Linked DNA regions of Alligator mississippiensis. The main gene of each other region encodes a partner of the protein of the gene in region 2 in a complex. Links are inferred from orthologs where the notes say so. Each region holds a gene or a part of one and is shown on either strand. Other genes may lie near its edges.

Evidence for each region.
Region 1: PPIL2 (region 2) and RBM48 share a complex: the UniProt entries of both Homo sapiens proteins name them as parts of the minor spliceosome. The link is inferred for Alligator mississippiensis from reciprocal best matches to the Homo sapiens genes PPIL2 and RBM48.
Region 3: PPIL2 (region 2) and GPKOW share a complex: the UniProt entries of both Homo sapiens proteins name them as parts of the minor spliceosome. The link is inferred for Alligator mississippiensis from reciprocal best matches to the Homo sapiens genes PPIL2 and GPKOW.
Region 4: PPIL2 (region 2) and SNIP1 share a complex: the UniProt entries of both Homo sapiens proteins name them as parts of the minor spliceosome. The link is inferred for Alligator mississippiensis from reciprocal best matches to the Homo sapiens genes PPIL2 and SNIP1.

What each region holds. Positions count from the first base shown.
Region 1 is NC_081828.1:175,536,485-175,544,359, reverse strand, and holds the start of RBM48 (RNA-binding protein 48), read left to right. Parts: upstream 1-4,872; 5' UTR 4,873-4,987; coding exon 4,988-5,101; intron 5,102-7,516; exon of another isoform or gene 7,517-7,875. Other genes in the region: peroxisomal ATPase PEX1, read right to left, coding at 4,510-4,623. UniProt on the Homo sapiens protein: As a component of the minor spliceosome, involved in the splicing of U12-type introns in pre-mRNAs.
Region 2 is NC_081833.1:14,803,147-14,810,889, forward strand, and holds the start of PPIL2 (RING-type E3 ubiquitin-protein ligase PPIL2), read left to right. Parts: upstream 1-4,732; 5' UTR 4,733-4,882; coding exon 4,883-4,914; intron 4,915-5,629; coding exon 5,630-5,679; intron 5,680-7,732; coding exon 7,733-7,743. UniProt on the Homo sapiens protein: Has a ubiquitin-protein ligase activity acting as an E3 ubiquitin protein ligase or as an ubiquitin-ubiquitin ligase promoting elongation of ubiquitin chains on substrates.
Region 3 is NC_081831.1:28,334,571-28,341,634, reverse strand, and holds the start of GPKOW (G-patch domain and KOW motifs-containing protein), read left to right. Parts: upstream 1-4,048; 5' UTR 4,049-4,076; coding exon 4,077-4,122; intron 4,123-4,224; exon of another isoform or gene 4,225-4,233; coding exon 4,234-4,480; intron 4,481-5,107; coding exon 5,108-5,253; intron 5,254-5,721; coding exon 5,722-5,861; intron 5,862-6,474; coding exon 6,475-6,581; intron 6,582-7,008; coding exon 7,009-7,064. UniProt on the Homo sapiens protein: RNA-binding protein involved in pre-mRNA splicing. As a component of the minor spliceosome, involved in the splicing of U12-type introns in pre-mRNAs.
Region 4 is NC_081829.1:913,315-920,421, forward strand, and holds the start of SNIP1 (smad nuclear-interacting protein 1), read right to left. Parts: upstream 3,013-7,107; 5' UTR 2,887-3,012; coding exon 2,729-2,886; intron 1,681-2,728; coding exon 1,578-1,680; intron 224-1,577; coding exon 1-223. Other genes in the region: DNALI1 (axonemal dynein light intermediate polypeptide 1), read left to right, coding at 3,318-3,398, 3,633-3,775, 4,172-4,341, 5,007-5,185, 5,752-5,916. UniProt on the Homo sapiens protein: Required for pre-mRNA splicing as component of the spliceosome. As a component of the minor spliceosome, involved in the splicing of U12-type introns in pre-mRNAs. Down-regulates NF-kappa-B signaling by competing with RELA for CREBBP/EP300 binding.

The DNA.
Region 1 (7,875 bases), on a different chromosome or scaffold from region 2:
AACAATTTAAATAAAATTATTCCAGTCAAACAAGGCCTGTTCCAATTAGACAAATGGACTTTATCTAATCAGATTTCTGATTGTCTAACCAGTCTTGCATTTGTCTAACCAAAGATCTAAAAGAAATCTTAAAAGAAACTTAAAAATTTATTTCTGGACTTTCCAGGCAGCACTTTTTAATGACTGCAACCTTTGCAACAGCTCTACGAGAAGTTTGCAATGATTCAGCAAAGGGAGTTTAAGCCATTTTCAGTAGACTTCAGAAAACGTTCCTTTTGGTAAAAGTTACCAAGATTCTTGAGTCAAGAGGCTCTCTCAAAATTCTTTTTCTTACAGTTTTAAAAATGTTTTTATTTCTTCATTTCTATTCATTTAATCTTAATTTCTAGTGGTGTTTTCAAAACACTGATCTTTTAATATTATATATCAACCGAAAATGAGACAGAATGAATTAAGCATGTCCATGAAATATCTGGCTTCAATTAAGAAAAGAACATAGGCATGTCCTTCAGTCTTGCCCTACTATTGGGGATCAATGAGACTTAAACATGTACATCAAAGTGTTCTTGAATAACGATAAACTTGGTGTCTGTGACAAATTTTCCATTAGGTTCAGTAAGGGTATTCACATGAGGAAATTTGAAGGCTGTCATAAATTGACGGCTATCATAATTCCAAAGAGCAACCACATGTGATTAGAAGAAATAATGTAAAGAAAAATGTGAAACCTACATTTATGGGAATGGAGGTATCATAGGAAAGTAGTGCTAGAAGGGGCCTCACAAAGTCTCTTCCCTCAGCCCTGTGCTCAAGGTGGGATCTTCCCTGACTAAAGCAGCCCAGCCAAGTGTTGGTCTAATTGACTTTTGAAAACTTCCCAAGGATAGAGGTTCCACAATTTTTCTAGGTAGCCTGTTCCAATGCTTGACCACCCTCATAGTCAAAAAGTTCCTAAATCTCACCTGGTGAGGTCTGAATCCATTGCTCCTAGTTCTGTCCCCTACAGTCACAGAGAAAAGCCCATCTCTACCCTCTATAATAGCTCTTTAGGACAGCACAAGTACTTTCAAACTGGTATTTGAAGACTGTTATTAAATCCCGCTCTCAGTCTTCTCTTCTCCAGACTAAATACCTCTGGCCCTGTCAGCCTTTCTTTGTAAGTCTTACTTCCCAGACGGCTAATAATTTTTGGTGCTCTCTACCAGACTCTTTCCAATCTGTCCATGTCCTTCTTGAAGTGCAGAGCTCAGAACAGGATGCAGTATTCCAGGTGAGGCCTCACCAGTGCTAATTACAGCATAAAAACCACTTCCCTTGGTTTGCAAGTGACACTCCTGTTAACACAACCCAGTATGCTTTTAGGTTTTTTTGGCAACAAGAGCACGCTTTTGGCTTGTATTCAGCTTCCGGTTTACTGTAACCTTCATATCCTCTGCCATACTACAGTCCAGCCAACCATTCCACAGCCACTCATTTTCCTTGGAGGCACAATATCTTTAAAGATATCATGGAACTCAAAGACACAGTTTTAAGACTAACTTAAGCAGCTACATACTACTGCACATCCAGAGGCAGGCTTCAGTCTAAATAAATGAAACATTTGTAAAGGGTTATCAAGCTACTGATGCTAAAAACTAGGAAAGGCCCAAGTAAAACACAGAAGAGGCAGCAACTATCTGAAAAGGAAGAGAGAAAAGTACAACAATGTGTAGCCAATAAAAATTGATCTAAAGTGCCACTGTTACATCTTCTTTATGACTGCCTTGTGGCTCTGTCAATCCTGCCTCTCAACTCCAGTTTTTCTTTTACTCCCACAAGCATGCCCCCATACCAATTCCTATGCTTTCTATTCCTTGGACTGTCCAACATGATCCTTCCTGCATGTCACACAGCCTCTCAATCTTCCCTCAAACATATCCTCTTAGCCCATCTTTACTCACAGAACAATGTTTAGAACATATCAGGAAATGAGTTCTGTACCACCCAAACATTCCACAATGTCTCTTGTATATTCCTTCTTCCTAACAACCTTTTAACTTTATTTCTTTCTTCAAATTCTTTGTCTAAAAATCTGTCTGTTTAGACTTTGTTTTACGGGTGTGTGCGCGTGGGTGTGTACTGTATACTTATCATTTGTCCCGGTGAACTTATTTGGTCCATTAACTGCATTAAATAGAAATATACGTACAGTTCCTTGGGACAAAAAAATTAATCGAAAGTAGTAATCCTGGCCCATATCAGATGGCTTAACTGAAAAATGAAGCCTAGTTTTTTTTTTTTTAAATCAACCTCCTACATTCACTTTATTGTCAGATAGATTTTTTTTGTTTTATTTATCCTGTGTCTGATAGATTCCACTTTAAATGATGAAAAACATGATGCATTTTGTCCAACAAGGTTTCATTTTGCATCTCCTCTGTTATGCTTTCCTACACACAATTTGCTGGCTGGCTGAGAAAGCAAGTGACCAAAATGGTCAACTCCATTCAGGTTGGAATTGCGGGACTTAGAAAAAAGCAAAAAAACCAAACCCCCCACCATTTCCTCCTGCTATTTTCATAGAAAGTTTTCTGAACTCGTACCAGCTGGCTTGGTTCAGTTTAGAAAGGACAAAGCCAGCAGTTAGAGTTCCTGTAATACACAGCTCTACAACACAGCCCTCATCCCCTCCCACTCCTTTTACTTAGCAGTGTGAAAAAACATTTGGATTGAAATGGACCGGTTCCATTCCCATGACTGTTTTCTTCTGGACTTGGGGAATTTTGCTGAAAACAGGAAAATGTTAAGAAGATTTATTTCAAGGTTACTGATGCTGCTTTCTAGCAAAAGTGCACACACTTTTTTTTTTTTTTTTTTTTTTATATATAATCGACTCTTGAATGAGTCTCCTCGTCCCTTTAATCTTGTGAGGAAATTGAATCGCATCTTTTCCTTGAAATGTTTTCCTATTATTAATATCTGTGGGTGACACAAAGGGTTTGTCCAGACCTTGACAGTGTATGCTGCATTTTCCCTGCAACCTTCTTGTATTCTACAGGGAGGGGAAGGGGCTACATCCTACACTGAACTGGACTCTCTTCAGGTACAAGTCTCTACCTATAGCAGCAGTGCTTGGCAACATTGTCTTTAGATACAAAATTACTGTATTGGAAGCTCAAAAATTATCATATTTGCTGAAAAAAACTAACGTACACTGAAAAAATATGCAAACAAGTCTTCTTTGTATTTACTTTATATTGCTCACTGTAAATCACCAGTGAGTGACAACTGGGTCATCAAAGTTGAAGCCTTTCTTTATTTCAAGGCAAGCTGCCATAAGAAATTGCTGACAGCAAACCCAAAAGTCAGTTAAGACTAGAGTTACCATACATCTGTTTTTTTCTGGACATGTCCTCTTTTTGAGTCCTCCCATCTCTGTCTAGATGGTTTTTCTAAATATCAACAATGTCTGGGATTTGGGATTTTGCTCTGTTCAGCACTGAAGCTGTCCCTGGCACTGGGCTGCAAAGGACAGGGGAGATGCCTGCTGCTCCAGCAGTGGAAGGGAGAGGGGAAGGGGCAGCAGGGAGCTATGGGGCCAGCCAGGGTGCTGTGGGTCTGGAGTGAGGGAAAGTGGTAGGGCTGGAGGGGTGGGGGGTAAGGGGGCTGCAGGTTGAAAGTGAGAGGATCCCAGCAGGGCGGGGGATAGGGGGCTGCAGGCTGGGAGTGAGGGACATGGTGGGGGGGAGAACAAGGGACTGTGGGTCAGGACTGCAGGGAACAGACAGTGCCAGGGGACTGCGAGTCAGGAGTGAGGGGCATCAGCCGGGACAGGGTGGGGGGAGCTGTGGGTTGGGACTGAGGAACAGCAACATGGTCTGAGGGAGGGGGACTGTGGGTTGTGAGTGAGGGGCAGAACCAGGGCACAGGCATATCACTGCCCCCCCGACAGGCATCCTCTTTTTTGAAACAGGAAATATGGTAATCCTAGATAAGACTCTCTGAGAGGGGCCTGGGCTTGGCATATGCTGCATCAACTGTCTCAAAAGTGATCAGGGATGTATCAGGTAGCTATGCTGGTCTGAGACAAAAAGAAATGCAAAACTCGAGAACTCGGTTCAGAGATGACACCTTTTATTAGAACAACTAAGAAATCGCAAGAGAATGGTTGAGGTATCACCTCGGAACCAAGAGTTCTCGAGTTCTGCAGTTCAAAACTGATCGTACATGTTGAGCACTTGGACTATTACCCATCTCACATCCTACAAGGGACGAAAGTATCGTACAACTATAATAATCCTCGTCCCCCCGGCCACGACCTCCCGCCCCCGGGGGCTGGGCGGAGGCTGCGGGGCCAGATCCTGCGGCGGGGCTGGTGCCCGTGCCCCACACCCGCGGGAGCCCGGCGGGCAGTGACGTCACGAGGTGAGGGAGCGCTGCTGTCACCATGGCAGCTGGGGCGGACTGCGCGTATCCCACAATCCCTGCCGAGGTCCGCCCCCGCAGGCCGCGGATTGAGCCGACCCGTACCTGCTGCAGGCGGAGGCGGGCGGCCAACGCCGCGGGCAGGTGCAGGAAGCAGTCCCGGCTGCCGCACACGGCGACGGTCACCGCTGCGCCGCCGGGGCCGCCGCTGCCCCACATGCTGGCGGCCCCGCTCCGCTGCAGGCGGCCTGGGCCGGGCCGGGCCGGACCGAACTCTCGGGGTTGACGCTACGCGCAGCTCCCCCGTCCGCTGGTAGACGACGAAGTCCAGGTCTCTAGCAAGCCGCACCCCTCCCCGCCCGCACACATTGGTACGGCCCATCGCAGGCCAATGGGGTTGCGCCTCCCACTCGCTCCCTCTCTTTCATTGGCTCTCACTCCAGTCCGGTGATGCGGCAGGTCTCCTCCGGCCTGATGACGATTCCCCCCAGAGCCAATGAAGGGAAATCAATAGCTCCACCCTTCCCTGATTGGCTGCTGTTGGCAAGCCGCCCGGCGCAGGAGGGGAGGGTAGAGGCGGAAGATGGCGGCGGCGACGGGCGCCGAGGTCGGGGGCGCGTGCGGGCATCACGCTCAGCGGGACGTCTGCGCCTCGCGCGCCAAGTACCGCGAGGGCCGCCGGCCGCGCGCCGTGAAGGTGGGAGCGGCGGTGCGCGGGTCAACCTGGGTTGCGCATGCGCAACGCCCCATAGCGCCGCCCTTCGGGCAGCGGCGGCGACGGGCTGGGAAGGGAGAGGACGCGGGTGGATTCGCGCCACCCTTCCCCCCCCCCCAGTTTCCGGCCTGGTGCTCTCTTATTGCACTCACTGTATGGCTGGCAGGTGTTAGATGAACTTTTGGGCATGGCGCACCCTTCAGGTGATCCAGAAGTCTCTGTGTAGGAAAGCCTCTGACATTTCCAGCTATATGGTTAGTCCGATAGAAGATGTCAACCGAAAACCCATGTTACTTTTCACACCTTTCCTGGACTGTCATGGCTGCAACAAAACTCCAGCCCTATTACAAGAAAGATTTGGGACTCTTTCTTTGTCAACACCACTTTAATTGGCCAGAACAGTGACTTCTTAGGGTTGCAGTGAGCTCTACCAGGAATTGGTAGCCTTTTGCTGACAGCAACACAAATGAATGCAGCCAGGGAGTCATAACTCCTTAATTTGACCAGCCATTGCCCACTGGAGTCAGGACAGTTACCTCAACTTGCCCAAGACATGGCATGTGCTGCATGGCATGCTACTGCCTAAGCTGTTTGCGGGCAGGCTGCCTGCCAGGGCTTCTAGGAGATGCCTGCCCCTTGGCTACATGTTGCAGAAGCAGCTGGCGTGAGTTTTCTGTGTGCTTGGCTCATTCCTCCTTGGGAAATGTGGGATCAGAGGGTCTGCAGAGATCTGCTGTGTGGGAGCCCAGGGGGAGGGAAAGGAGGCGAGCAATGAGCAGGCAGCTGGTTTTTGGCAGGCCAGATAAAATCTTGCAGGCTGAATCTGGTTTGTGGACTATAGGTTGTCAACCTTTGTACAATATAAAACAGGGGTGGTCCAACCTTTTTGAATGTGGGGCCGGATCACAAACTTTTTATCACCCAGTGGGCTGGCAAGCCATATTCAAAGACCTCACAGGAAGTGGTATCACATCAGGAAGTGATATCACGTGACCTTTGACACCAATGAAGTTGCAGGAAGTGACAATGAAATAGGTTTAAATAACCAGTTCAAAACTCTCCCTCTATAGCATCCACCTCTGCCACTGTTTGGGGCAGGATATTGAGCTAGATGGACCATGGGGCTGACCACGCATGGTGCTTTTTATGCTCTTATGTTCAGAAGCTCTTATGTTCTTTGGCTGAGTTTCCAAACTATGGCTGAGATTTGCAAAAAGGGGTAGATAGGCATGTTACAAAGTTGTCATAAAAGATTTGGAGCCCTCTAAATCCCATTAATTTTAATGGAAGTTGGCCTTTTGACTCAGCTTTGAAAATCTCAGCCCAAGGTGCCAACCAAATAAGTTAAAATTTATTTTTCACTTCTATGCAGTGCGTCTATGTGGGGCTCTCCAAGCATTTTACAAACATGAAATGAACCTCAGGATGAGCCCAGCCAGAGGAGCAGGGGCTCAGCTGCACTTTCCCCCTACCTGCGCTGGTCAGTCTGGAGTGGCACATGGCTCCGCCGCCACTTCTGCTGGTTGGTGCTGACCCAGGCGGGTCTGTCCCATCTGGAGCAGCACGCAGCTGAAGCTGGCTTCCCATGTGCCACTGGGGATGGGAGGAGCCCGGCCGGGTTGGCACCAGCCAGCAGAAGTGGCTGCGGAGCTGTGTGCCGCTCGGGACTGGCAGGCGCAGGCAGGGGGGAAATGCATCTGAACCCCTGTTGCTCCAGCCGGGCTCGTCCCGTCCTGAGCGACACACGGCTCTGCCGCCGTTTCTGCTGGCCGGTGCTGTCCCAGCCGGGCTCCTCCCATCCCCAGTAGCATGTGGGAAGCTAGCTTCAGCTGCATGCTGCTTTTTCTGGCCGGTGGCTGGGTCCATCCCACCTGGAGCAGCATGCGGCTGAAGCCAGGTTCCCATGTGCTGCTGGGGATGGGAGGAGCCCGGCCGGGTCTGCACCAGCCAGCAGAAGCGGCAGCAGAGCCATGTGCCACTCGGGATGGGACGAGCTTGGCTGGAGTGGCAGGGGCTCAGCTGCATTTCCCCCTGCCTGCACCTGTCAGTCCTGAGTGGCATACGGCTCCGCTGCCGCTTCTGCTGGTTGACAAATGCCCATGTGTGCGTGCAGCTGCAGCACAGCATGCAGGCAGTGAGGAGCACAGCCCGACAGCTTGGAGAGCTGTGTGCAGCTGGTAAGTCTATTGTGGTGGAGGGCATGGCGGGCGGGACGTGTGCCCCCTGTATCAGGGTGGAACAAAGCAGGCTGCAGTTGCAGGCTAGGGCCATGGGCCGCAGGGAGGGCTGGGCTGGGCTGCACTCGGTGGATATGCAGTGGCGGCGCTGGGAGGGAGGGGTATGGGGGCTACAGAGAAATTTGGGGTGGCTGGAGCCCCCTGCCAGTGCCGCAACCTGCCTCAAGCACAGTGTGACCCAACCCCCCACCCACCAGGAGGAGCCTGGTGCAGGCCTCAGCCCACAGCTGCAGCCTGAGCTGCTCCCCTTCCCCAACCCCCCTCCGCCCCCTGACAAGCTGCAGCTCCGTCCTGTGCCCACCCTACCCTGGCTGGGCAGTACGTACCCCAGCCCCACTTCCTCCCTCACCGCGGGGGGGCATTGATCTGCCCCCACATGCCCCTTCCGCCTGTCCCCTCCCCATCTGGATGCAGCTGTATCGGAAATCGGATCGGTATCGGCTGACATACCTCCTTAAAAATTGGCTATAGGTATCAGCCCCCAAAATCTTTATCAGTGCACCTCTAAAAAAATTGTCA
Region 2 (7,743 bases):
AGATAGGCCTGTTGAAAGTCTCTGGGTTAAGGTCAGAGGGGACAGCAACAAGAGTGACATTGTGGTGGGTGTCTATTAGGGGTGCCCCAATAGAGATTTTGGGGGCCAATACCGATAGCCAATTTTTAAGGAGGCTTATTGACCAATACTGATCCACTTTCCAATACAGTTGTGTGCAGCTGGTAAGTCTGTTGTGGGAGGGGAGGGAAGGGGCATGGCAGGGGGGCAGATCAAGGTCCCTGTGGTGAGGGAGGGAGTGGGACTGGGGCTGGGACTGGCGCTGCCCAGCCGGCATGGGGCCCAAGATGGAGCCATGGCTTGTCCAGGGGGCATGGGGTGGAGGGCAGCTCCCGCTGCTGCATGCACCCCGGGAGGGCGTGGGGTGCATATGTCCCCAGATCTGTGTGGGGCATGGGTGGGGCAGGCTGCAGCTGTGGGCTGGGGTCAGGGCTGCACCAGGTTCTTCCGGGGGGGTGGGGCTGGGCCAGGCTGTGTTTGGGATGGGTGGCGGCAGTGGTGGGAGGGGAGTTATGGGGGTGGCTGCAGCCACCCCAAATTTTGCCGTAGAAACACCTCCCCCAAAGACCTCCCAGTGCCATTGCTGCCCACCTTGAGCGTAGCCTGGCCCAACCCCTGCTTCCCTACATGCCAGAAAGAGCCCAGTGCAGCCCCAGCCTGCAGCTGCAGCCCCCTTCCCCTGCGTAGATCCAGGGGCACCTGCCCCGCCCCATGCCTTCCCAGGGTACACGCAGCAGCAGGAACGGCCCCACTCCTGCCCTGCACCCCCCAGATGAGCTGTGGCTCCATCCTGTGCCTACCCTGACCCAGCTGAGCAGCACTAACCCCTGCCACAGCCCCATGCCTTCCCTTACCACAGGGCCCTTGATCTGCACCCCCCACACCCCTTCCCTCCCCCCTCCCTTTCTACCACAACAGACTTACCAGCTGCATGCAGCTCTCCAAGTTGCTGGACTGTACTTGCTGCTTGTGTGCTGCACTGTGGCTATGCACTTACACGGGCATTTATCAGCCAAATTATTGGCCATATCAGGCCGATTTCCGATACAATCAATTTTTTTTACATCTGTGCTGATCCAATATCGGACCGATGTATCGGTGCACCTCTAGTATGTGTTATAAACCACCAGACCAGGAGGGTGAGGTGGATGAAGCCTTCTTCAGACAGCTAGTGGAAGTTTCCCAATCACAGGCTCTGGTTTTCATGGGGGACTTCAATCACCCTGACATCTGCTGGGAGGGCAATACAGCAGTGTGCAGGCAATGCAGGAAGTGTTTGGAGAGTGCTAGTGGCAACTTCCTGGTGCAAGTGTTGGAGAAGCCAACTAGAGGCCATGTTCTTCTTGACCTGCTGCTCACAAATAGGGATAAATTGACGGGGAATGCGGAAGTGGATGGCAACTTAGGTGGTAGTGACCATAAAATGATAGAGTTCAGGATCCTGAGGAAAGGAAGGAAGGAGAGCAGCAGAGTAAGGACCCTGGACTTCAGAAAAACAGACTTCGGCTTGCTTAAGGAACTGATGGGCAGGATCCCCCTGGGAGGCCAGTCTGAGTGGGGAAGGAGTCCAGGAGAGCTGGAGTTTATTTTAAATAAACCTTACTGAGGGCACAGGAATTAACCATCCTGATACACAGGAAGACTAGCAACTATGACGAAAGACCAGCTTGGCTTAGCAGGGAACTCTTCAGTGAGCTAGAACACAAAAAGAAATCTTACAAGAAGAGTATAAGAGTATTGCTTGGGCACAGAAGGATAAAATCAGGAAGGCCAAAGCACAATTGGAGTTGCAGCTAGCAAGGGGTAAGAAGGGTTTATATGAGTATGTCAGCTGCAAGAGGAAGATCAGGGAATGTGTGGGCCCCTTACTGAAGGGGGAGGAAACCTTGTGACATGATGTGGAAATGGCTGAAGTCTTCAATGCCTTTTTTTACCTCAATCTTTTACCACAAGCAAGGTCAGCTCCCAGGCTGCTGCACCTGTCAACACAGTTTGGGGAGCAGCCAACAGTGATGAAAGAACAGGTTAGGGACTATTTAGAAAAGCAGGATGTTACAAGTCCACGGGCCTGAACACAATGCACCAGAGGGTGCTAGGGGAGGGGTTGGCTAATGTGATTGCAGAACCACTGGCCATTATCTTTGAAAACATGGTGATTGGGAGAGGTCCCAGACGATTGGAAAAGGGCAAATATAGTGCCCATCTTTAAGAAAGGGAAGTAGAAGGATTCAGAGAACTACACCCTACAGCAGGGGTGGCCAGTTATTTTGGGCAGAGGGCTGTTCACTGAGTTTTGGCAAACCATCAAGGGCCACATGACAGGCAGTCAGGGGCAGATGAATATTAATTTTCTAAAATTTTTAGGGGCCCCGTGGGCTGGATAGAATGGCCTGGCGGGCTGCATTTTGCCCATTCCTGCACTACAGGGACTGAGGTGATGCCTCACCTTAGTCCCAGAAAAATCATGGAGCAGGCCCTCAAGGAATCCATTTCTAAGCACCTGGAGAAGAAGATGATTAGGAACAACCAGCATGGATTCACCACAGGCAAATCATGTCTGACCAACCTGGTTGCCTTCTCTGATGAGATGACTGGTTCTGTGGATATGGGGAGAGCAGTGGATGTGATAAAACTTGACTTCAGCATGGCTTTTGATAGGTCTCTCACAACCTTCTCACAAGCAAACCAAGAAAGTACAGGTTGGATGAATGGACTGCAAAGTGGATAGAAAACTGGCTGGATCATCAAGATCAATGGCTTGATGTCTAGTTGGCAGCTGGTATCAAGTGGAGTGTCCCAGGGATGGGTCCTCACGTTGGTTTTGTTCAATATCTTCATCAACGACCTGGAAGATGGGATGGAGTGCACCCTCAGTAAGTCTGCATATTACTTTGGTTCCAAAGAAGATGGAGCTAAACTGTTCCCAGTGGTGGTAGATGACAGAACAAGGACCAAAGGTGTCAAGTTGCAGCGAGGGAAGTTTAGGTTAGATATTAGGAAAAACTCTCATGGGGAAGGTAGTAAAGCAGTGGAACAGATTACCCAGAGAGGTGGTGGAATCTCCATACTTAGAGGTTTTTAAGACCCAGGTAGACAAAGTCTTGCCCGGGATATCTAGTTGGGGATGGTTTTGCCTGAGCAGGGCATTGGATTAGATGACCCCCTATCTTTTATAATCCTCTGAGCATCTTTGACACCCTTATGTTAGGGGAAAAATGCGAGTGGAAGAAAAATGCTTCAAAATTAAAAATGTTCCAGGCCCAATTTAAACATGAAGAATCAAAACAGGATAAAAGTCTTTACTGGCTTGAACTTGCGTTCTTAAGATTGCTTTGTGAGCTGTCTATTTAATGACCCCTACATCTGGCACAAAAGGCAAGAAGACTATTGGTGGCTTTTTCTAAATCTGATCTAATCTACAGGGTTTTTTCCTTTATGATGCTTGTGGGTTTTAAAATAGCAGTTCCACATCCCAATTTGTTCTTTCCCTTTTTTTTTTTCTCTCTCACTTTCCCAGAGTCCACCACAACATCAATCTGGTCTTTGATCTGATCTCAGAACACATTCTCAAGGAGATTCTCTTGGTGATAGTGGCTGCTGGCTCATACAACAGGAACCACAACACTAATTTCTGGGGCAAAAATTAAAGTTGGATGGAAATGAATAAAGAAATTACCACATACAACTAAGGATTCTGATAATTAAAATGGCAAGTATGTGTACAGTGCAAATGGGTGAATTTATGTTTTCCTTTGATGTTTGTACTCAGTGCCCACTAAAAGACTTTGTATGAATCAAACCAAGAGCCTCCCACTCTCAGAAATCTGAAAATGCTGGACCGTCGTATGAAACAGTTTTGAAACTGCAATAGAAAACCCAAAGCCAGCTGGGTCAAAACCAAACATGGATCTGTGTACCGCTGTGAATTTGAAGCCTTCAGCCACATCATGGTCTTGTTGGACTTTCCGTTAATTCCAAAAATTAACCTCGGAAGTGGCCAAGTTTGACCTCGGGGCTCAACACCTGAGGCTTTTACAAACTGTTGAGGCTAGCAAGCAGTTGGGCTTCCAAAGTAAGAAAGCTTTTGCAGGTTAATGAACTTGTTTTCTGGAGCTGATCATCTTGATTGCATAAAAGGATTTTAGTAACGCATCTGTTGGGTGAGAAACAGGAAAACTCCCTTAGTCATGTAGGACCTCTAGTGATCAGGCTAGTCCAAATGGAGCACCGGAGTCTGGCCCAGGGAAGAAGCAGAGGGGAAAGTCCTTTCGTTTTAGCTGGGGAGCAAGGAGTGGATGGACAGTAACATTTTAAACGAGGTGTCTGGTTTCATAGGGACTTTTGTGTCTTCTATTGACTAGCTCACCATCGCGTCCTGCTGCATTTTGAATGAACTTGCAAGTGGAGAAGAAAAAGGAGAACGTATAGGAAGAAAGAATTCAAACGTTTTCGCGGTTTGGTACACAGCTGTTCTGGGCAGGAGCTCAGTTTACAGCCCAAAGCGACCCTGCCAGGAAAAGCAAGGCAGCCCCCCCGGGGCGCCGGCTGCAGGAGGTGGCGCAGGGCCCGGGCACTGCTCGAGCTGCACGAGACGCGGGGGCAGCCGCCGCTGCAGTCATCGCCCAGGCGGCCGGAACGTTCCCTCGCGGCGCCGGCTTCCGGCGGGGCCCTGTGCCGTGGGACGCCGCCTGGCCGGAAGTGGCTGCAGCCGCGGCCTTCCGGGCAGGAGAGGCGTTTCGCAGCCCTCGGCTCCTTCCGGCCGGGCTCGCCCCGCGCGCACCCGGGCACAGCCAGGGGTCCCCCGCCGCGGGCGGGCGGGCGGCGGTGTCTTCTCAGAGCAGCCCCCGCCGCCGCCGCCGCCGCCATGGGGAAGAGGCAGCACCAGAAGGATAAGATGTGAGGGGGAGGGGCGCAGGGACCGTTGGGCTGGAGCCGTTTGGAAGGGGGGGGTAGAGGGTGGGCAGGTGATGGGGGGCGCCAGCGTAAATACTGGGGTTGGGAGTCTTGTCCCTCATAGCGGCGAAGGGGAGCACGAATCACGAATGGCACCTCTAGGTGCCAAGGACAAGCTTCATGAAGGAGCTTTCTCCACTGGACATACTTCCGAGTTGTTTTATTTGCACCACCTTTGGGAGCTTTGCTAGTGTCGGCCTTCCAGAGCGTGCAGGCTCCGGCAGCTCCGAGAGCAACGGCTGCCGGAGACCACCCGAGGAAACGCTTCAGGCCTCAGAGCACCAGTGTGGTTGTGGAGGCTCGTTGTCCCACCCGACGGGACAGCCTAGGATGCGTGCAGCGGCATGGCAGTGCTCCTGGGGCAGGCCGTGGTGCCACCGCACTTGTTGCTGCTACAGGATCACCCCAAAGTGGCACTGAGCATCGGGTGCCAGTTGTGTTGTCTCTTACGCCAGGCCAAACATCGGGGCCTCATGATGCCGACTGCCCCAGTGGGGCTATGGAGGGTGAAGAGGTGAAACCTTGGGTAGCTGAAGATATTTTATTTCTCAGAATGGCAGTCCCAGCGAATAGCAACAGTTCCTTAATATCTGCTAAACAGAGTTAGTGCTATCCCGTAATGCAGCCAGAATTGACTGTTCTCCTTTCTTCTCTTTAGGTACATAACATGTGCAGAATACACAAACTTCTATGGAGGAAAGAAAGCAGGTAAGCAACTGAATGCTGCGCTTAATTATTTCAGTGTTTACTTCTGGTGACAGTTCTTATTTTGCAGGCTTGTTCTCACTTCGCCGTTGTTCCATCTGGAGCAGTGATCCCCGCTGCCCGTGCTTCCTTCTCCTTCCATCAGCCCTCAGTAACTTCTCTCTGAATCTGCTCTAACAAGTTGAAAATATATTCCTCCTATGTATACACAGTTCAAGATTTGTCTTATCCCTTTGATGCGTCTGCTGCCTTTGACATTGATGGATGCACTCTCCTTTGCCACATCCCATCCTTGTGCTCTACGATCATATCCCCCTCCTCCTCCCCCTCTCCCCCCTGAGGTTTCATTGTTCATTTCCCATCTTATGTTCAATGTTTGTTTCTCTCTGTTGCCCTACTTTGTTAGAGTCTTTCAAGGCTTTGTTCTTAGCCTTTTCTCTTTCCCTGTATACCCTCATGCTGCTGTGCAGTTAGCTATCACCTTTTTATTGTTGCTATTCAGGTTCTTCACACTGCTCATCTCCTGTGCCTCAGTCTTGCATTTCCTTCTTTCTGTTAGACCACCCTGGATAATTCACTGCCTTTTCAACATGGGTAGATGTAAATTCCTCCTAAATCCTCTGCAATTCCCATGTTTTCATCTGTGGTTGTCTTCTTCCCAGTTATCCTAAGTTCCTGATGCCAACTGCCTGGATATCTCTCTAACTCCAACCTGTTTCTCTCTTCAAAAATCAGTCTTGTCCAAGCCTTGCCATTCTTTCCTCCTCTTACTTTCCTTTTTTTTTTGTCCTCCAACTAAATTGCTTGTCCATGGCCTGAGTGGGCATGTCTACACGCGCATTTAATTCATAGCAATAAACTCCAACACACATCGCACAGGAGTTTATTCCTCCCAGGCCTGCTGTTTGAATGTGTGCCCAGGACCTCATAAAGTTGAGCCAGACCGGAGCAGCCCTGGCTGGCATGGGGCCCAGGGGGGTCATTCTGCCAGCCTGGGCCTGCTCCCATCTGGCTCAACATGCTGCAGAGGGGCAGGCTGGAGCACAAGTATGCTCCAGTGTGGGGCTAGCCAGTAGGCAGCCCCTGCACTAAAGCACCTTCATGCCCTAGCCAGCCGGGTCAGCATCTACAGATGCATTGTTGCTTACAAAAAAACTGCAGCAGGATAGTACCTGTATTTACAAGTACTAACCTGCTGTGGAGTTCAGTAGTTTCCTGCAGCCTAATAGGCCACACATGTAGACACCAAGACATTTGCTGTGGAGCTAATTGAGCAACTCCACAGTAAACATCTTGTGTAGACATGCCCAGTATCTCCCATCTACAAGTATCTTCTCCTATTCCAAAATGTCCTCACCTCAACCACATCACCCCCATATTCCAATTTTGGCTTTCTTTACTGATTTTATGTTCTCTGTTAATTTTTTTTTTCACTCTTGACATTGAGCCCTGTTTCTGCTTTCCTCTGCTTATTGTAGCCATCTTTGCAAGTAATATCAGTAGAAAGGCCTCTTTTTGTATCTTTTTTCACAGACATTTCTCTCCTTTTCTTCTGGCTACCACTTGTGTTTGGAATGTCCTCTCCAAACTTGTATACATAGTGAATCTGATAGCATTTGGTATATTGTCAATTTCAGTGTTTCTTCTTAATAATAAGTCAACTTCTTTTGGTCTTTGGGTTTTTAAAACAGCAACAAGGGGGAGTGAGTTTAAAAATGAGGTAACATGGTACAAAACCACAAACAAATGGAAAGGGAATAAAGATAAATCTGGAGCTATTTGAAATGTTGGGCTTTATTCATTTGCATACTGTCCTTTTTAGAGCACACTTGAAGTTCCAAAGATATTGATGTACAAAGTGTTGGCTTTTGTTTATAGTTTTGCAGGATTTGGAATGATTATTTTTGTTACCTATGAATTATTACCAGATGTACCAAATACTGTGGCTTCCAAACATGTATCATGTAGGGTTGATTAAAAATGTCTGAAGAACTGTTAAATATTCAAATGACTGTTTATTCAGAAAAAAAAAATGTTTTATGTTTTTTGCAAACAGATATTCCACAA
Region 3 (7,064 bases), on a different chromosome or scaffold from region 2:
CCTCCCCCACTTCCCCTTCACTACCCAGACAAACCCCCCATTCCCCTTCCCTGATCCCTGCCCATTCCATGTCCCCCCTCCTCCATCAATATCCCCACTCCCTCTAGTACCTGGGGTTGTAGGGGGTGGGAACCCCCAATCTTAGACCTCACATCAGTATCAGGCCCATTCAAGTCACTGGTGGAGGAGCCTGTGGTGGGGAGGGAAGAATAAGGTGGTGTGTGGGTGTTTGTGTGCACACCCCATCATGGGTGTGTGTGCATGTGTGTACCCCAACATGCTCCTTTCCCACCTTCATACCACGCCCAGCATGCTGGGGGTGCCTGCCCCACCCTGTCAGGAACCCCTCCCCAAAACCCCAGTCCCACCCTCACTCAATATCTGCTCCCTCCAGGCCCCTAGAAATAATTACATGTCCAGCCCCATAGCAAAGCTTAGGTACAGGCAACCATGGTAGTGTTCAGAGGGGCAGGAGCTATTAGGCCCTGAGTGGCTGCAAGTCCCTCCCAAAACCAAGCCAAACAGACTGACCTTGGCTGAAGGGACCCAGGGGCAGACAGGTGGTGCCAGGCAGCAGCTGATAACAGCTAGGGGTGAGGAGTTAACCCCTTAGGCACCAGACAACCCCTGCTCTCACTCACCAGTGCGGGGGCAGGGCCTGGTTGCCACACCAGTGCCCCCTGGGGGATGAGGCCTGCAGAGGGTACTGAGCAGGATGTCCTGGGGTTCAGGCCCCACAAAGCTGGTCACAGCAAGTTCCTCAGCACCCCCTGAGCCCAGGCAGTGGGGGCCAGCAGCTGACCATGGGGGCAGGTTCCTGGGGCCTGGGGGAGAAAGTAGGGGTTAGTGGAGTAAGGGACCCTCAGAGATACCTCTACAGCCATCTTGCCCCTCTCCTGCTCTAGGGCCTGTCCCTGCCCAGGTTTAACTCCACTCCTTGCCCCTCCCCTACAGCCTTAGCCCCACCCCACAGTCCTCCCACACCCACATGACCCTCTCCCACCCCCTACCCCAATACCCTCGCCCTCTTAGCCCTACTCCCATGCATTTCCCTTAGTTTTAACTCCTCCATCAAACCCCATGCCCTGGCCCCAGGCTTAGTCCCTTCCCCACCCCACTGCCCCTCCCCCAACCTTAGCCTCCCCCGTGCCCCTCCTCCAGCCTTAGCTCTTCCTCTAACCAAATACCCTTCCCCTTACTTTAGTCCCTCCCCATCCTTCATCACCCAATGCCCCATCCCTTAATCTTAAACTCTCCCCCAACCCTTAGCCCCCTGAATCTCCTCCCTCACCCCAATTCCCTGCCACTAGCTTTAGACCCATCCCTATGCCCTGCTCACAGCCCTCGCACTCCTCACCCCTTATCCCTATGCCCCCGCACCTATTACCCTCCCTCATTGCCCCCAGCTCCTGACCTGGGCACTGAACGAACAGCAGGCCACTGCCAGTCTCATTTGCCTTGCCCAGCAGGGGGCAGCACTGGGGGTCCCAGATCTGTCCCCCCTGAGTGCCCCCTGCCCTGATGCCAGTGACCCCTGGGGAGTGGTGGGGCAGGGGCACAGGCAGGTGCCAACCCCCTCCCCCACCTCCTTGCTTGTGGTCCTGCCCCCCAGGCAGGGGTGGGGGCAGCAGGCTAATAGGGAAGGTGAGTGGAGCACCCCTTGGTGGCTGTATTGCAGTACCCAGCTCCCGTCCACCACCACCACCACATTCACTGCAGGGTGGAGAGCCAGGTGTTAATGAGACATGGCTGCCAACACCCCCCCCCCGCCCCCAGTTTCCCTGGGGGGAGAACCATGGCCCTGTACAGCATTCCCAAGTGACCTGGGAAGTATATTTAGTCCCACACGCCCCCAAGCTGTAGCTGGAACTGCCTGAAGAGGGAAATGTAGCCCTAAATAGTGCACCCTGATGCCCCAGAGGGGAGATACAGCCCTACATAGCACCCCGCCTAAGTGGCCTGGAAGGGGAGATACAACCCTATATTGTACCCTTGAATGCCACAGTGGGGGAGATGCAACACTGCACAGTATCCCCTAGTGGCCTGGAGGCAAAATGCAGCTCTGAACATTGGAGGGGGTGGGGGAAGAATCTGGCCATGTACAGCATCCTCCAGTGGCCTGGAGGGGGATATACAGGCCTATACAGCACTCCCTACTTCAGCAGATCCCAAACTGTGAGTTGTGATCCCAAATAGGGTCGCAACATTAGTAGATGGGGTTGCAGCGTGGCATTCTCTCCCAGGTCCTGTCTGCCGGGCTGCAGAGGCCTGGGGGAAAGGCAGCAGGGCAGCGAGCCCCAAGCCCACAGCCCACATCCTCCCACCCCCATGGGCTCTACTCTGGCTGTACCACCTGTGGGGTCAGGGACAGGGGTGGAGGGCAGGGAGCCGGGCTTCATGCTCTGGCCTTAGCAGCTGCTGCTTCCTTCAGGTGGTAGACAGAACTCAGGCACTGCTAAGGTGAGGGCCCTGTCCCTGGGGCACCTGGGGAGAGTGGGGGGCTGCAGATGGGGAATGAGGAGCACCAGCAAAGCCAGGGAGCTGTGGGTCAGGATTGAGGGGCACCCAAGGGGGGGGTGTGCTGTGAGTTGAGAGTGAGGGGCCATGATGAGGAAATGGGGTCATGCTGAGGAAATGTTTGGGAAGCACTGCCCTAGTGGCTTAGAAGAGAAGATATAGCCCCACACAGCTTCCCCCATGGCCTGGATAAAGAGATCTATGGTAACCCCTAATGGCCTGGGGAGAAAATACAGCTCCATACGGCATCCCCTAGTAGCTTAAAGAGGGAGATACAGCTCTGCATGTCACCTCCTAGTGATCTGGAGGGGGACTATAGTCCCAGAGTGTCATCCATTGCTCCAGGTTATCAGAGCCCCACATGATGCCCCCTGCTGCCACTCCTGGTCCCCTACACTTACCTCCTGTAGTTGTGATCGACCCTGCCATGGGAACTCTGACCTCTGGGGGGCTCCACGGGGTGCTGCAGCTGTGGGGAAGGGGTAGATAAAAATTCTCCTCCCTCCCAATCTGCAGCCCCGCACATCAGCTCTATGGTGCCTCCCATTCCTGTCCTGGAACCTCTGCACCATAGCCCTGGGGTGCCCATCACTCCTGCCCTGTGACACCTGCCCCTCAGTGACTCACCTGATTCCATAGGCCTCACCCCTCTCTGAGCCCCAGTTATGGGGCTGAGGTCTGGGACCCCCCATGGTGCAATTGGGGGCCTTCTGTTAGAGCCCCAAGATGAGTGTTGGGTGGGGGAGTCTTCTTGGGAGTCCCTGTAGGCCTTTAGAGTGGAAGGAGAAAAAAAAGTGTTCAGATACAGCCAGATCTGGGGTGAAGAGCATAAGCAAGCCGCATTTTACCCCCTACAGCCCTGCCCCCAGCTCTGGTGAGGCCACCCTCCCCACAGTGCTCCTCACTCCTGACCCACAGCCCCTTCCATCACTCCCAATTTGCAGTCCCCCAACTTTGACAATCCAAGTCCAACCAGCAGGTTATCCTATCCCATCTGCCATAGGCCAGTGGTGGTGGTGGGGGGAGGGGGGGGGAAGCCTTGGGATCAGCCCTGTGCAAAAGCCCTCCATCTCCATCCCCTGCTGGGTACCCAGGCTGCAGGCAGTGGGGTGGGGGGGGTTGCCAAGGCAACAGGGCCGCTGCCCAGGTAACCGTCCTCTTGCCCCCTGTGGCTAGGCTGCTAGGGAGGGTGGAGTTTTTTGGAGGGATGGATACTTAGGTGGCAGGGCAGCTAATCCGTGCTCATCCCAAAATGAAAGGAAGTGAGGGGCGGGGGGTGGTCTGGTGACTAAACAAAATGGGTCTGGGAGCTAGGACACCTGGTTTCTCTCCCTAGCCCTCTCCCAGCTCCCCCTCCCCAAAGCTGGAGGGGTGGGGGAGCAGTTATCAGGGCAGTTGGGACCTGTAGGCTACTCCAGTGCATGCTGGTAACTCTAGCCTGGAGCCCCAATGCATGCTGTCTATGTATTACGTCAAAGATCCCACCGCATGATGGGAGATTCAGGCAACCCTTCCTGTCTCTTCGAAATGCCTGTTAGTAGAGGGGGACTCCAACTCCCATGATTCCGTGTACCGCAAACCCCAGGCGAGGCAATGATGGCCGCGGTGAGTCGGCTGTACCGCTCTCATGATACTTTTCGGTGGCGTTTCCGGGCGCGACTAGAGGGCCGTGGCTCTGAGAGGACTACAATTCCCATGAAACCTTACTGCGTCCAGTTAGGGCCAGCTCCGAGGATGAGACTACGACTCCCATGATGTCCTGCGGCAGCGACTGCGGGTGCGGCAAGATGGCGGCGCCAGCGGCTGGTGGAGCGGGACCAGTGTCGTTCGGGTTTACACGCACCGCCGCTGGGCGGAGGCGGCTGCCCGGTCCCGAGTCGGGACCCTGCGCGGAGCCTGACGCCACCGAACACGTGCCGGAACCAGACTTCGTGCGCGCTATGGAGGACCGGGAGCTCCAGAGGTATCCCTGGGGGCGGGGTAGAGAAGCGGAATGGCGCATGCGCGAGCTGTATTGACCATGAACACAGGAGGAAGGAGAAGAGGCTGGGTGTCTTTGGACGCATGCTTAATGTGGAAGCTTAGGTTGCCCCAAGTGCTTGCCTCGCAGAGGGGTTACATCAGAACGCGTGCACCGAGGAAAAAGTCGGTGTGCACTGGGCATCTGAGCCATGGTGCGTACAGTGCATGCCTGCAGAGGGGAAAGGGCGTGTACACTTAGGGCAGGGGGCGGGGTAAGGAAGAGGGGCAGGCTGGAGGCGTGGGTTGGGGAAGGGGCGTGGCCCCAGAGAGCAGGGGTTGGAATTAAGATAAGGGGCTGGTCAGTAGATGAGGGGGTCGGCCTCTGTGGGGTTATAGGGTTTTGGGGCATGGTCATCTGGGGAGGTTGTGGGGCATTGAGGTGTGGCTACTGGGGAGGGGATCTTGATGGAGGGGGCAGGGCCTAGGAAGTGCAAAGGAGCATGGTTAAATCCCTTCTCCGCCTCTTGAAGGCTCAGATCAAGTGTAGTGGAGGTGGGGGCATGTGCAGAGAAAGGGCTGGGGCCTCAGGCTGTGAGGGGTGGGGCATCAGAAAGCTGTCTCCCCACAGTGTCTGCCTGGCCCCACGGCCCCCCTCAGCACTTGTCATTCCCCTGATCCGGACGAACCAGTGGAAGCGGCCAGCGGGCGAGGCTTCTCCAGACCCTGTTGGCGGGGACAGGGTTGAGGGTCAGGCCATTCGGGAGATCATTGAGGGTGAGTGGGCATCGGGAACCCAGGTGTCTGGGCTTGCCATCATTCCCAGCCTGATGCTTGAGCAGAGAGAGAACCCACACGTACAGTCTCCCCACCCCTTCATGCTTTTTCTTATTCTGTATTTGTTCATTCTAATTACCAGAAATGGGGGAGAACCCAGGTGTCCAGGGTGCTAGATGTGGCCCCTTCCCCTTCCCGCTTCCCCCCAAAAAGTGCTAATTTTGTCAACTAAAGGCTCCCCTTGCATTGGCCCACTCAAAAGCAGAACCCAAATGTCCAGACTCCCCACCACCCCAGATGCCCTGCCAGAGCTGGGGGAGAACTCATGTGTCCAGGTTCCCAGCCCCCACTCCTCCCAGAGAACCCAGATACCTGGGTTCCCAGTCTTCCCTGCTCTAAATGCCTAGCTCCATCTCCCTCCCAAAGAATCCATGCATCTAGCTCTGATACTTCCCCTGTACCTTGCAGAGTCACAGCGGGTGCTGGAAGTTTGGGAGGCTGGTGCTGAGGCTTCCCTGGCTCGAACCATTCCCATGCTAGTCCAGAACAGGGTACTTAGTGGCTACGAGGACAGCGACCATGTGGACGTCAGTCTGCGCCCTGAGTCGGTAAGGGAATCTCCAGGTTCAGCTCTGTATTTCCCCCACCCACCTCCTGCCCCCAGCTGGCCCATGCAGGGGCAGAACCCAGGTATCCCAGCTCATGAACTCCCAGTTCCCACTCCCAATCTAAAGAACCCAGGTGTCAGGGCTCTGAGGTCCCCCGGCTGTAACCCCATCCAGCCATTACTCCACTTCTAGAGAACCCAGGTGTTTGGCTCTGATCCCTTCCTGCCCCCCAGCTCAGCTGGCCCAATATCCCCCCTCTCTGCCCCTGGTGCCAGGTGACCCACGCAGGGGCAGAATCCACATGTCTAGGTTTCTGACACTGCTCCCTGCTCTAACTCCACTTCCAGAGAACCCAGGTGTCCAGGCTCCTAGACTCTCCCTGACTACCCTCCCTGGCTCCCACTTCCCTCTCAGAGAACCCAGGTGTCCAACTCTGACCTCTCCCTTTCCCCCTCCCTCAGGCCCAGCTGGCCTTGCATCCCTCACACTCCTTGCCTCCAGCTGCCTCATGCAGGGGGAGAGCTCGCACTTCTGGGCCCCAGCTCCCAGAGAACTCCCTCCTCCCCACAGAATCCCCACCCCAGTGGGCTGATGTATCCCTTTTGCCCCCTAGGCCACAGAGGCAGATTATGAAGAGGTGCCAGTGGAGGCCTATGGTCTGGCCATGCTGCGGGGGATGGGTTGGAAGGAGGGCGAGGGCATCGGCCATACCTTCAAGCAGTGAGTGACCCTGGGGGCAAAGGTCGTGGCAGTTGGGAAGGTCAAGGGTCAGAGGGGAGGGAGCAGGGCAACGAGGGGTACAGCATGGTGTTGGAGGGTTGTGGGTACAATCAGAGATCAAGGTGGGATATGGTAGAGAGGATTGTGAGTATGGTCAGAGGCTGCCCTGTGACATCAAAGGTCAAACTGGGGGATGCCAGAGAGAATTTTGGGTACAACCACTTTCCGAGGTCCAGAAGTGACCCTGGGGAGAAGGTCAGGAAGGGACGATGTGTAGAATCTTCTTTCTGCTTCTGGGGTTGAAGTTCAGGGGAACTGTCTGGGTGGGATCAGAAGTCATAGTGTGGGGGAGGAGTGCACAGGGGTCAGTACCATGGGATGCACTAGGGGTGCCATGTAATCCCTTCTTGTCCCATCCTTCCCCCAGGGCTGTGAAGCCACTAGAACATGAGTTGCGTCCCAAGGGACTGGGCCTGGGGGCTG
Region 4 (7,107 bases), on a different chromosome or scaffold from region 2:
TTTCACGTCTTCTCTCATCGTTAAATTCCCTCTCTGCTTGCTGCTCACGGAGGTTCTGGGAATCCCTCTCTCTCTCGTGACCTCGACCTCCAGGCCTTTCACTGGAATTTTTCCTTCTGTCCGAATGGTCTCTGTGTCTGTCTCGCTCTCGTCTGTGTTCCTGTTCGGGCTGGTCTCTGTGCTTTCGTTCGTCGTGTCCTCTGCGGGAATGATCATCTCGCTCCTGGAACAAAAAGACATTAGAGTGACCTATTCAGAATTAAGGGAGAAAGAAAAGGCAGGGAATGTTGTTTAGTCTTTAGAAAAACAAATCACAATTTAATATGAGAAAACATACAGACTCAACACACGCTGTATACAGACTTTTGCTGAATTAAGTTTTGATAACATGACTGACTGAATGATCACTGAATAAATAATTGTGAACTCAAGTTTCAGAAATGAAACACAGGCAGAATTGGTTTTAAATGATTTTACTCTAAAATCAGAAGTTCCTTAATTCTTAGCTGTTCTGTCTTAGTGTAACTCAAAAATGATTCAGGTGCCATCATGTTAGGTGCTGCGTACGCAGAGGGCAAAAAGTATCGTTGGCCAGCACAGTTTGAAGTCTCACAATAAAGTACTAGATAACAAACAGCTCTGTCACTTCCACACATGGTAAAACACTAATTCAGCCAAATTTAACAAGTGTTACTCTACTGCTGATATGTACTAACACAACACTTAGAAACACTCTCAAATTTCCTTATTCCTTTTCCTTTCCACACTACAGACACTTGCAGAAATGACGACTCCTTCGGAGATCTTCTGGCTCATCGTCTTACTCCCCACCCAAAACTCAGTAGCACAAATTTTCCTACTATCCTAATACACCAACAACTTTGAGAGAATCTGTTCGTGAATCACCTCATTTCCCAATGCACCAAATCTTGGGTCCCACACAAATGCCACTGTTCTGCAATTCCAGTTTTAAATGATTAGTGATTTAATCAACAGGACAGGAGAGGGAAGGATCTCCTTTAGAAGAGCAAGCACATGCCTGTTTGGAAGCATCCTACTACTTTCTATTGCTGCCGAGAGGCCCCAATTCAACACGCTACACGCTGCGCTGTGCTGTACACCCCTCCCCCAGTGTCAACACTATTCTGGGGAACTGGACCAGCTTAAAGGGCGAGGCTGCATGAGTGACAGAGGCCAGATTAACAGGTAATCCCTGCAAGCGCTCAAACATTCGAGGCAGAGTTTGTGATGGAGCTGGCTGTACTTTTGCCCATTGCTGCAAGATAACTACACTCTAAACTTACGAACGATCAAACTATCACCTGACCCCCAGGTGTCTTTCCTGCCTGGTGCAGGGGACTGGACCCGATGGTCTGCCGAGGTCCCTCCGACTTTACAATCTATGAAAAAAACCGTGGTTATCAAGTAAGAAACTAGTCGCCCCACCTTCTTCAGATCCTGCTGCTACAAATTAACCCGCACACCTGCTCTGTATGGCTGCACAGGACCCCTGGGGTTTCAACAGGTTATAGCCAAAGTAACAAGCAGGATCAGGACCTCCCCGTTAAATATATTACCTGCTTTACTTTGACCACAACATGATGAGGGCTTCTGCTTCTTCGATTGCGAGGAGACTTGCTTCTTCGACTGGAGGATTTATTTTTTCTTTTGCCCGGTGATCTTAACAAAGCAGAACAAAACACGACACAACTGAGCTGTCTGGCCCACGTCACGCAGAGACAAAGTACGTTTGTGCAGCGGTTAAGCAGCGATTGAAGCTTGACCTAGTAAAATGGACGTTAACAAGCTGGAGGCTTCAGAGCAGAGGAGAGAGGCAGGTGGACGAGGCAAGCGCAGGACCACGAAGCTGCCGAGGCGGCCGCGAAAAAGGCGACCGTAAACGTCTCTCTCAAACGAGGCACTTTCAGTCGAAACGGAGATTTCACGCGACCACAAAGCCTCACCTGCCAGGCGGGGTCAAGCACTCCCGAAAAGCGCATCCGCACCGGGGCGCGGATGGGGACGGACTCGGGCAAACCCTGGGGGCTGGAAAGCTGCGGCACGTGTCGCCTGGCACGGCCACGGCCACGGCCACGAGGGGACGCGACGACGGCCTGCAATCCGCCGCGAGTGTCAACCTCAGAGGGAGGAAAAGCTGCCAACGCCAAGGAGCGACCTGGGCACCAGAGCGAACGGAGCGGGTACAGCTCGCCTGGGAGCCGGGACAGGGTTTGTAGCCGCCGGGAGATGCCGGCCCCCTCCCAGCGCTCCACTGACACCCCTCCCCGCCGACACCCCTCTCCACAATTAAACATTTTAAAGCACGACCGAGACCAGCGGCTCCTCGTCCGCGGCGCGGAGACCCCCGCCAGCCGTCACCGCCGACAGGTTTATTGTAACGCCTTGACGTGAGAGAGGCGCGCGGGGGGTGCTCGAGATGGGATCGTTTTAAACCGGTCGGAGTCGGGGAGACGTGGATCGGCACGGTGCCGCGCTGCTGATCGCTACGCGACGGGCGGACAGACGGCCGGCCGGCCGAGGAAGGAGGGCAGGGCTGTGTCCGGTCGGGAAAACACGGACGAGGCGACAGGAAGTGAAACACGTCCCGCGGCCCCGGTGTCCCGTCCCCCCAACCCCCCCGGCGTGGACCTGCTCTCGCGAAACACGCGGGAAACGCCTTTGCGGCCTCCGTAGCCACAGCTGCCTCTCCGGGGGGGGGGAGGGGTACCTGCTGGCCCTGTCGCGGCTGCGGGCGGCCTGGTGCGGGCCGCGCCCCTCGTCGGCCGGCGGGGACTGGCTGCCGCGGGCCGAGCGGGCGCGCCGGGGGCTCCGCGGCTCCTCCCGCCGCCGCTTCTTGCGGCCCCGCTCCAGCTCCGCCGCCTCCATGGCTGCGGCCGGGCCGGGCCTAGGCACCGCGCCGCATCCGGATGCTGCCTTCACACTTCCGCTTCCGGAGGTGAACGGCAGCAATGGCCCACTTCCGCTTCCAGGGATCCCCGCCGACCCGGAAGTGCTCCCGCTTGACCTACCCCTGCACGGCGCTTCCGGGGAGCCAGGCCCCGCCCCGCGGCCCTGCCTCAGGGCCCGCCCTCGCGCCGCCGGGGAGGGCAGAGGAGGGGAGGGCGCGTTCCCCCCCCCCCCCCCCGAGAACAGCGCCAGGTGTAGCACGTGCGGACAGGGCCGCATTGCGCATGCGCCCTCTCCTCCCTCTCAGCGTGCTGACGTCACGGCGCCGAGGCGTTGCGACGCGTCCCGGCTGGCGGGTGGGCGGGTTGCCATGGTGACCGTACACAGCGCCGGGGCCTGGGGCCGCCGCCATGATCCCCCCGCCCGACTCGCTCGTGCGCTACGAGACCCCCGCGCTCGTCACCCGCAACGCCGACAAGCGCTCCCCCAAGGTGGGCGTGCATGGGGGTGGGGGGAGCACAGGGGAGGGCTGGGGGGCAGAGGGAGGTCGGCGGGTCCAGGGGGTGAGTATGGGGGGGCAGGGGGGTGAGCACGAGGGGGAGGGGCGGTCTGGGTGTGCAGGGATTGAGCGTGGGGGGGGGGGGGTTGGGGGAGGTCGGGGGGGCCAGGCCCAGCCGGGGGCACGGTCGCAGCTCACGTCCCGTCCCGTGCGGCGGGGTCGGCAGGCGCGGGCGCTGAAGACGCTGTCGCAGCCGGCGGCGGTGCCAGGCCCGGTGCCGCCCCCGCCCAAGGCGCGGTCTCCGTGCGCGGCGGCGGAGCAGGCGAAGCAGCAGACGGAGGAGGTGCTGAACGCGATCCTGCCCCCGCGGTGAGGACGGCCCCGGGGGGAGGGGCGGGGGGGTCGCCGCCCCGCGCCCCGGCGCGTGACCCGGCTCGCGGCCAGTCGTTCCTGCGGCCCGGCCCGCGTCGGCCGCACGAAGCGTTTCTCGCCCGATCGCTCCTGTGATCTTTGCATCCGCGGCCCTTCTCCGGCCACTGCCCCGGGCAGCACACATCCCCGGGCGGACGCCACGGCCGTCTGAACAACCCCGAGGCGCTCGTGAAACGAGCACTTCCCATTTGCTCGGAGATCTGCTTGGTTAAATCCCCTGCAGAGGCAGGTCCCGAGCGGTCGCTGGTCGCGGCCAGCGCTCTTACAGCGACGGGGCTGTAAAGGCGGCGATGAATGTCTAATAATGAAATCCGTGCTGGTTTTGTGGTGCAGAGAATGGGTGGAAGACAATCAGCTCTGGATCCAGCAAGTGTCGTGTACACCCAGCACACGGATGGACGTGCTGCATCTGCAGGAAGAGCTGGACCTCAAGCTGCAGCAAAGACAGGCTCGAGAAACCGGGATCTGCCCCGTCCGCAGGGAGCTGTACTCGCAGTGCTTCGGTCAGTGAGCTCTCCCGATCCCTAGCAGCACGAGCCAAAGGCACATGGGACTGAGAGCAAAACACTGGAAGTGGCCGAGTAGACGAGCTCGGGGGAATGGCAAATGGAGATCTCCCAGTAATACTGTGGGCTGTGGTCCAGCCTCGGCCAGTTGGGAACAGAGGTTATTACCATCTACTGCGTGTAGGGGCACCTGTGGGTCTCGGGTCGGTCCCAGGCGCGCAGGTGTACTGCTAGAACAAGCAAGCTCTACAAGGACGTTACTGTGGCAGCAGGGCATCGGCAGGGTTTGTTTCAGATTCGCTTGGTAGCGAAAGACTTATTCAGACCCATCGCTCTGATGCTGCAGTAACTCACAGATGAATCCAGGCAGTTTGCTAAACGTTTCAGTGACACCGTGCTAGTCCTCTGCCTGCCACAGCCCAGCACGGGACACTGTGGGAAGGCACCAGCCATAGGGGTAGGGAGAGTGCCGATTGTTACCGATGATCTGTTCATTTTTTACCAGTAAGAAGCTTCAGGCCTAATCGCTGACCTCAGAAGCCTCCGTGTCGTTATAGTTCTTGTGGGAACTTTGGCAGGGGGCTGCTTCAGGCCCTTGTTTTTCCTGATGCCCACATCCGTTTCCCCCTCTCATCTTCACTTCCGCCCTTTTTTGCTTAAAGACGAACTTATCCGTGAAGTTACCATTAACTGCATAGAGCGGGGAATGTTGCTGCATCGGGTCCGAGATGAAATCCGAATGACCATTGCTGCCTACCAGACCCTGTACGAGAGCAGCGTTGCCTTTGGCATGAGAAAGGCGTTACAGGCTGAGCAAGGCAAAGCAGATATGGAGAAAAAGGTAATTGGGGCTGCTCGCTCCCGCGTGCTCCTTTCTGCACGGGGAGAAATGAGCTAACCTTTGTACCCGGTCTTTCAGGCTCGGTAGATCACATTCTGCCGTAGGTGTTAGAGCAGTCTGACAGGTGTTTTAAAACGGGCTCCCAAGGGAGGTGGTGCTCTCCCCTACCCTGGGGGTCTTCAAGAGGAGGTTAGACGAGTATCTAGCTGGGGTCATCTAGACCCAGCACTCTTTCCTGCCTATGCAGGGGGTCGGACTCGATGATCTGTTGAGGTCCCTTCTGACCCTAACATCTATGAATCTATGAATCCCCATTTCTTACATTTGAGTCACTTTCCCATTTCACAGATAAACGTGTTATTTCAATTTTCCACTCAATTCAGTTTTTTCTGGTTCCACTGGATGGCAGTAAAGCTCATCCAAACAAACCTTTTTCTCCCCCCCCCCGGCCTATTTATAATATAATATTTATATTGCCGCATAGAGTGTTAAACACACAGCTGTGTCTTAATTGTACTCCCAAAGTGTAACAATGAATGCAAGCAAGATCTGTGTTCATTTCAAAGATTGCAGAGTTGGAAGAGGAGAAGAGAGAGCTGGAAAGACAAGTGAATGAGCAAAAAGCTAAATGTGAAGCTGTTGAAAAACGTGAAATTGAAAGGCGGCAGGTAGAGGAGAAGAAGCATGGTGAGGAGGTCCAGTTCTTGAAACGAACCAATCAGCAGCTGAAGGTCAGTAAAGAGACCCCCACTCCCACCTGCAAGTGGTGGTGGGAAGATAGGGAGACACGGAAATATTGTTTGCGTCTTTGTTTCACTTTCTTATAAATAAAAAAAGCCCAAGTTCCAATTTAACTGACACTAACATTGTGCTTTCGCTGAACCCTCAAACCTCCCCGCGCTTCTGTAGGAGGAAGACGATCGCAATAGTAGCTCGAGTGAGCCCAGCCTTCTGGTGATCAGTTGGCTGAGTGGGGAACACATTAGGCCCAGCTGGGGCTGAGATGCAGAGACAGTTTAGGCTTACAGATCTTTAGGTGATCTTAGAGTTTGCACTTGAACACTGATAGTTCCTCAAGGACCAAGTTCCTGCATGCACCTGACTTGAGAGTTACCTTAGGTGGCTGTGAGCAGAAAATACCAAGTTGCTGAGAATGCACTGCTCCCTCAAAGCCGTTTAAAAACAGAACAGGATGTCCCACGAAGTCAAACCAGGACCACAGGGTGACTTTCTTTGCTATTGGTCTGACACCTTGACAGTTCTCTTTGCACCAAGAGACACGGTAAAGAGAACAGTTGCCAGAAGGATGAAACCCCTGTCTTTTGGCACAATAGAGCCTTTTCTTCCATCCTTATCCAAGACCTCACCCAAGTAACAGCAGGCAGCGGGAACTGGGTGCTAGGCATCACTGGCAAGAGAGGCCTTGCTGTATGTTTGCGGGTCAGGAGGATTCTTGTTGCAAAGAACCTTAGAAAAGACGCTGTAATAGGGAACAAATCGTAAAGTGACATTCCTTTAGTCCTTTGGTTTCCAGATAAGGAAGGGTAGCAGGAGCAAACCCTTCTGCCTGGTGCACACTAGAACCGTGCTGAGCTTTCAGATAGGTGCTTGTGCCGCACATCTCAATTCAGCTTGTGCTTCCTTCCACTAGCAGCCCAGGAAGGAGAGCAGCTCAGGTCTGAACGTATCCCACGAGTGAGTCACCACATACTTGTCTTTCCAACCCTGTCTTTCAACAGCAACAGAACCAAAATCCACGTGGGAAGCATCACTGCATTGTCTTGGGGCTTCCAGGCACTATGGATCATAAGCAGCACGGAGGCTGGAGCGGTGCAGGCTCATCACCTGGGTTCCTAGGGTAGCAAGTGTTTGCTTGGCTTGGTTCAGAACGTACTTCTTGTGTTGTCATCAGTAGCATCCTT